Saccharomyces cerevisiae S288C: one gene and its partner. Changing the gene in region 1 together with any one later gene gives a genetic interaction. Each region holds a gene or a part of one and is shown on either strand. Other genes may lie near its edges. The genes, in order: PHO89 and PHO90.

Region 1 (3,931 bases):
CAATCGAAATTGTGCTCAATACAGCGACTACATGGTTTTTTACCATCACACTTTACTCGACGGACACGACAATAGTCGCATGCATACTTGACTAAAGTCATATTTAGAACATAAATATCTTCAAGATGCTCTCGTTCGATGTTTGATATTCAATATTTACACTCTAGTGTTTTCCCGAGAAAGAAACCTTCTGAAATGATTTTTTGTTCCTTTTTAATCTATTGAAAAATGGCGGTACGGACAATAAAATCCGGGGGCGGGGTAAATTGCGCATGGCCGTGGAATGTCACTGCAAAGTGAACGAGAAGATTAGAACACGGAATAAGGAAAACTTCTGGGGAATTTATTTTTCAAGATTTGGTTCCAGGTTTTTCCCCAGAAATGAAAGTGCTAGATGATTGGTTTTCAAGGAAGTTCTCAAAAGCTGTACACGGAAACAATCACGGCACCATTTCCTTGTCAACTCTGTCTTATATCAGAGTCCATAAACTAGTAAAATGACTTCGTAGAATCGAACAATATCTCACCATAAAATTTTTTTCACAAACAAAAAAGACGCTCTATTATACAAAAAGCTGCTGCGGCCCTTCTTAATGACTAAATCTTGACAACTGAGCTCTTTCACACCTGTGCAAAATCCAATGGGAGCAATAAATGTAACATATTTTTTTAACATACCACGGTAGGGCAATGAATATAAATAGATATTGGACCGTATCCTTTTCTGATCATCTTGAAAACATTGTCTTGCCTCTCAACAGCTTTATCTATTCTTCACCTCTCTTCGTTTGACTATTTCAGCATGTATTTTTTCACACAATTTTTCTTCCAACTATTTTCCAATATTACTACGAGAATTCCGACCACGGAAAAAAACTTGCGCTGTTCCAATCAGTCCCATTCTATCCATCTACCTGCCAGTGGTTTCGTAATATCGACTCACACCAGTAACGACATAACTGTTTTTTCGTTCATGATTTAATAGCGAGCCCACCTTTAACGCATATCTGCTTCACCGCTGAAATAATATTTTACGAGCACGCTAACACAATGCTTGTGTTTTCTGTTGAAATCACAATACCGTTACTTGGAGTGACCATTTATGGTTTGTTGAATTCACAGTACTCTCGTCAGCTTTGTCACGTATTCAACTGTAACCTCTTTGAATCTCAACACTACGTTGTCTTCGCGTGTACTAAATGTATCGATTATATAATAGTATTTAAAAATCATTTAAAATTGCACCATGTACTGTATAATGATTTTCTCAAGACGATATTTCGAGTTTTGCCGATGGGTCTTATAATCTCTTTTGATAGAGATACCTACTTTTAACAATATCAAAATTACTGATATAGGTTAATTTTTGTTCACGAGTAAGTACTTCAGTGACACTCGTCAGTAAAGAACATTAGCGGAATCGTTATAATTTCATTCCTTACATCCGTTTAATTTCATTAATTCGATGCATCTTTCTTTGGCGAAGCCAGAAAATCTAGTTTCAGAAATCTCGGTTTCACCCGCAAAAAAGTTTAAATTTCACAGATCGCGCCACACCGATCACAAAACGGCTTCACCACAAGGGTGTGTGGCTGTGCGATAGACCTTTTTTTTCTTTTTCTGCTTTTTCGTCATCCCCACGTTGTGCCATTAATTTGTTAGTGGGCCCTTAAATGTCGAAATATTGCTAAAAATTGGCCCGAGTCATTGAAAGGCTTTAAGAATATACCGTACAAAGGAGTTTATGTAATCTTAATAAATTGCATATGACAATGCAGCACGTGGGAGACAAATAGTAATAATACTAATCTATCAATACTAGATGTCACAGCCACTTTGGATCCTTCTATTATGTAAATCATTAGATTAACTCAGTCAATAGCAGATTTTTTTTACAATGTCTACTGGGTGGACATCTCCAAACAATTCATGTCACTAAGCCCGGTTTTCGATATGAAGAAAATTATATATAAACCTGCTGAAGATGATCTTTACATTGAGGTTATTTTACATGAATTGTCATAGAATGAGTGACATAGATCAAAGGTGAGAATACTGGAGCGTATCTAATCGAATCAATATAAACAAAGATTAAGCAAAAATGGCTTTACATCAATTTGACTATATTTTTGCCATTGCCATGTTATTTGCATTTTTGGATGCCTTTAACATCGGGGCAAACGACGTGGCGAACTCATTCGCGTCGTCGATCTCTTCTAGATCTCTAAAATACTGGCAAGCCATGGTTTTGGCGGGTCTCTGTGAGTTCTTGGGTGCTGTCTTGGCAGGCGCAAGAGTTTCTGGTACTATCAAGAACAACATTATAGATTCCTCCATTTTTACCAACGACCCCGCTGTTTTAATGCTTACTATGACCAGTGCTTTGATTGGCTCGTCTTGTTGGTTAACATTTGCTACTGCAATCGGAATGCCAGTTTCTACTACACATTCCATTGTTGGTGGTACAATTGGCGCTGGGATTGCAGCCGGTGGAGCTAACGGTGTCGTTTGGGGTTGGAGTGGTGTTTCTCAAATTATTGCGTCATGGTTCATTGCTCCGATTTTGGCAGGCGCGATCGCAGCTATAGTTTTTTCAATTTCTAGGTTTTCTGTCCTTGAAGTTAAGTCTTTGGAAAGATCGATTAAGAATGCTTTACTGCTGGTTGGTGTTTTAGTATTCGCCACTTTCTCTATCTTAACAATGTTGATTGTCTGGAAGGGTTCTCCAAACCTACACTTGGACGATTTATCTGAAACTGAAACTGCCGTATCTATTGTTCTCACAGGTGCAATTGCTTCGATCGTTTACTTCATCTTTTTCTACCCATTCTACAGAAGAAAAGTTTTGGACCAAGATTGGACACTAAAGTTGATTGATATTTTCAGAGGTCCATCTTTTTACTTTAAGTCCACTGATGATATCCCACCAATGCCAGAAGGCCATCAATTAACAATCGATTATTACGAGGGCAGAAGAAATCTTGGAACAACTGTTTCTGTTGAAGACGAAGAAAATAAGGCAGCGAGTAATTCTAATGATTCCGTCAAAAACAAAGAAGACATCCAGGAAGTGGACCTGGTTAGAACTGAAACTGAACCAGAAACAAAGTTGTCAACGAAACAATATTGGTGGTCATTATTAAAGCAAGGACCTAAAAAATGGCCCTTATTGTTCTGGTTAGTAATCTCTCATGGTTGGACTCAAGACGTCATTCATGCTCAAGTTAATGATAGAGATATGTTATCTGGTGACCTGAAAGGAATGTACGAAAGATCTAAATTTTACGACAATAGAGTAGAATATATCTATTCGGTTCTCCAAGCCATTACTGCAGCCACTATGTCTTTTGCTCATGGAGCTAATGACGTTGCCAACGCTACTGGTCCTTTGTCTGCTGTGTATGTGATCTGGAAAACTAACACTATTGGGGCAAAGTCCGAAGTTCCCGTGTGGGTTCTGGCTTATGGTGGTGTTGCCTTAGTTATTGGTTGCTGGACTTATGGTTACAATATTATCAAAAATCTAGGTAATAAGATGATTTTGCAGTCGCCATCAAGAGGCTTTTCAATTGAACTAGCTGTTGCTATTACTACTGTCATGGCTACCCAATTAGGTATTCCTACCTCAACAACCCAGATCGCCGTTGGTGGTATTGTCGCTGTTGGTTTATGTAACAAGGATCTCAAATCAGTTAATTGGAGAATGGTAGCCTGGTGTTATTCTGGTTGGTTTTTAACTTTACCAATTGCTGGTTTGATTGCCGGTATCATAAATGGTATCATTTTGAATGCTCCTCGCTTTGGTGTGGAATACCAAATGACATAATCATAATGTGTTTCGGTTATGAATACAGTTTTACAACATTAGGTAGAACTTTTATTGCTCAGTGACTTTAAAGTTAAAACATTTCTAATTTAAAACCTTAAAGAT
Region 2 (3,931 bases), on another chromosome or scaffold:
TTATATTTGCCTGACCTATTTTAACGGTTATATTCCACAAACATTTTAATCATGAAGCAATTTTTTTGATGTTGATGTGAGAGTAATAAGCACTGTGCTGAGAAGAGGATCAACAACATGATATTCTACGGAACGTAAAGGATACAATGTTATTGGACTAAGAATCGTCTATCATCTTAAGAAATGGGTGGATGATCGGACAATTATTGAGAAGGTTTCATTGTGGAGAACAAATCGCAATATTGTGCAATCCTTTAGATATGTCAAGATAAAATACTAGGGAGGCTTCGCCCATTCATTAAAGAGTATAGCTACCGCATACTGTTTAGTAGTATACTATCACATGTGGTGTAAAAAGATAACATAAAGATTGAGAATCAGTCATCAAATGTAATGGAAGCTGAAAATGCAAGGATTGATAGTGTAATAGGAACGAAACATATGAAAACGGAATGAGGAATAGTCGTATTATTAGTATGTATAGATTCCATTTGAGAATTCTTATATCCTCGAGGGGAACTTCTAGTATATTCTGTATACATAATATTGTAGCCTCTATCAACAACGGAATCCCAACAATTATCTCAAAACTCACTTATATCTCACAAAACACTCAATAGCGACCCTTAAATGTTACTGAACCTCATATTGTTTCGCTCTGCTCCCTTATATATTGTTAATGCAATCGGGACAGCTCACTGACTGAACGGTGAATAGTGGCTCCCGGAAAGCTGAGAGTTGTGAACTCGCCACCTCTGTTAAGTAAGTCGTAAGCTGTTAAAGCTGCGTCACGAGTAATGAGCTGCCAGTTCGGCCTCTGATCGCTGTACTTTATGGTAAAAAGATAGTTCCTAGTAGAAGACGAGTCATACTCGTAAACAAGCACCGCTGGATACTCTTCTCTATCAAGACGTAAAGCGTACTTGTAATCTCTAAGTTCGCCAATCCAAATTTCTGATATGCCACTCATTATCCTCACCCCACATGCTGACACCTTATACATTCAATATCTCCCTTCTCCTACTTAACCTTATGTTACCCTTTTTTTTTGGCTTGCATTTATATTTGGTTTACATAGCAACAACCGATAGCGGGTAACAGCATTAAGCTTCCCATCTCCCGTTCACTGTTATTACCTTTGGCACGTAAAGGGCCGGCTAATAATGTCGTATTTCCACTGATTTGGATGTATGTTGCATGGTGCTAGATTGTGAATAAATCATTTCCACTGGTTTCTAGCAGAGGTAAGAAAATCAGTAGTAGCGGCAGCAGCCAAGAAAAATGGCAGCCTGGCAAGCAGCGAAGGCCATCTGTGCTGCATTTCCACACTCCTTGTATGACTGCATACGCATAAAGAGGTGCCTTGCTGTAGGCGTATATGATCCTAAGCAACAGAGAAACCACGGTTCTCTTCTCTTCTTATTTCGTTATTGTCTTCCCTTTTTACTATGGGTAAAGTCGCCCTAAAGCGGGGCGCTCACAATATCGCCGCAGCTACAGCCGTTTTTTTTTTTTTTGTTTTTTTTTGCGCTGCTTCTCGAAGAATGAATGGCTCACTGAAAAATTTTGATTCATCGATATAAAGAACACTGTTCACTTCGATGTCATCCGGCCAATAAAGTTGTTTTTAGGATAAACGAGTAAGTGGTAGCTGGTACAGGATCATGAGATTTTCACACTTCTTGAAGTACAATGCTGTCCCAGAATGGCAAAACCATTATATGGACTACAGCGAGCTGAAAAATCTTATTTACACGCTACAAACAGATGAACTTCAGGTTGGTGATAACGAAGAAGGATTTGGCGCAGGAAAGAGCTCTAACATTACAGATAGGTTCAAAAACAAGTTTTCTTTTAAAAATGCGAAGGAAGATACGTCTTCCGGTATGAACAAAGATGCAGGCATCGTTGAGGAAACCATCGAGTTGCGAGAGTTGCCTACTGCTCAGACGGTCGCTGCCAAACCTTCTCCTTTCAGAAGAATGAAGGAAAAGATATTTTACAAAAGAAGGTCGTCTTCCGCATCGTCCGTCTCCTCCACGGCCAACGAAAATCTGCAATTAGACACTTATGATACGTTTGTTGGTGATTTAACAGCTGAAAAACAGAAAGTAGATGATTTTTATAAGAGGACAGAAGCGAAGTTCTACGACAAATTTGACGCGCTGGTGAAGGACCTGAAGAAAATCGGAGTTATAGAATACGATATCGACGATGATACTCTGTTTAACGAACCGATTGCCAGCACAAATGACGAAGTTCCCCCACTAGACTTGGATGATGACGAAGACGACGACGAATTTTACGATGATCAATCTAATATTGAAGATAATACTGCTTTGCTGCATCATTCGCAGTATAACATTAAGTCTCAGAAAAAATCGCTGTTGAAGAAGTCGATCGTAAACCTATATATCGATCTTTGCCAGTTGAAGTCGTTCATCGAATTGAACCGCATTGGGTTTGCAAAAATTACAAAGAAATCAGACAAAGTTCTTCACTTGAATACAAGAACCGAACTGATCGAATCGGAGCAGTTTTTCAAAGACACATATGCATTCCAGGCAGAAACGATCGAATTGCTAAATTCCAAAATTTCCCAGCTAGTCACATTTTATGCGCGCATCACTGACCGGCCTCATAATATCTCGCATAGCAAGCAAGAGTTGAAATCCTACCTGCATGACCACATTGTTTGGGAAAGAAGTAACACTTGGAAAGACATGTTGGGACTGCTATCGCAAGCTGACGAGTTGACACCAAAGGAAACAGAATATAATGCAAATAAGCTGGTAGGCAAGTTAGATTTGGAATACTACAGATGGCCACTACCCAGACCGATAAACTTAAAATTCACTAGTATAAACAACGTTGCACTACCGAAATTATTTTTCACCAAGAAAGCATACAAGATTTACTTTATTATTCTAGTCACTGGACTCTTGTTAGGAATAAAGACCTTCAACGACGCTGCTCAGCACCGCTGCATGGCCCTTGTCGAGTGTGTCGCCTTTTTGTGGGCTAGTGAGGCCATCCCATTACACATTACAGCATTCCTTGTACCACTACTTGTAGTCCTTTTCAAAGTCCTAAAAACCTCCGACGGGGCTATAATGAGTGCTGCAAGCGCTTCATCAGAAATTTTGGCCGCCATGTGGTCTTCTACAATTATGATTCTGCTGGCAGGTTTTACTTTGGGTGAAGTACTTGCACAATATAACATCGCCAAAGTTCTTGCCTCGTGGTTGTTGGCCTTCGCTGGTTGTAAACCCAGAAACGTTCTTTTAATGGCAATGTGTGTCGTGTTCTTCCTATCAATGTGGATTTCCAATGTCGCAGCACCTGTTCTAACATATTCGTTGTTATCTCCCCTATTGGATGCCATGGATGCAGATAGCCCATTTGCGCAAGCATTGGTGTTAGGTGTAGCGTTGGCTGCAAATATCGGTGGTATGTCTTCACCAATCTCTTCACCTCAAAACATCATTTCCATGTCGTACTTGAAACCCTATGGTATTGGCTGGGGCCAATTCTTTGCTGTTGCATTGCCATCTGGTATCCTGGCCATGCTTTTGGTTTGGATTTTATTGTTCACTACTTTCAAGATGAATAAGACCAAATTGGAAAAATTTAAGCCTATTAAGACGAAATTCACAGTTAAGCAGTATTATATCATTACTGTCACTGTGGCCACTATTTTGTTGTGGTGTGTGGAAAGCCAGATTGAAGGTGCTTTTGGGTCATCAGGTCAAATTGCAATCATTCCCATCGTTTTGTTTTTTGGTACCGGATTACTATCAACACAAGATTTAAATGCCTTTCCGTGGTCAATCGTTATTTTGGCAATGGGAGGTATTGCTTTGGGGAAGGCCGTCTCATCCTCGGGTTTGCTATCAACCATTGCAAAAGCATTACAAAAGAAAATTGAGAA

Evidence for each region.
Region 2: mutations in PHO89 (region 1) and PHO90 are lethal when combined (synthetic lethality), as found in Saccharomyces cerevisiae (2 studies listed by BioGRID, with this or other methods).

What each region holds. Positions count from the first base shown.
Region 1 is NC_001134.8:796,693-800,623, reverse strand, and holds PHO89 (Pho89p), read left to right. Parts: upstream 1-2,101; coding exon 2,102-3,826; downstream 3,827-3,931. Other genes in the region: transcription factor MAL33, read right to left, coding at 1-101; TYC1 (Tyc1p), read left to right, coding at 382-501. UniProt on the Saccharomyces cerevisiae protein: Sodium-phosphate symporter. Active in early growth phase.
Region 2 is NC_001142.9:59,180-63,110, forward strand, and holds the start of PHO90 (SPX domain-containing inorganic phosphate transporter), read left to right. Parts: upstream 1-1,664; coding exon 1,665-3,931. Other genes in the region: MBB1 (Mbb1p), read right to left, coding at 677-1,003. UniProt on the Saccharomyces cerevisiae protein: Low-affinity phosphate transporter involved in the control of cellular phosphate levels.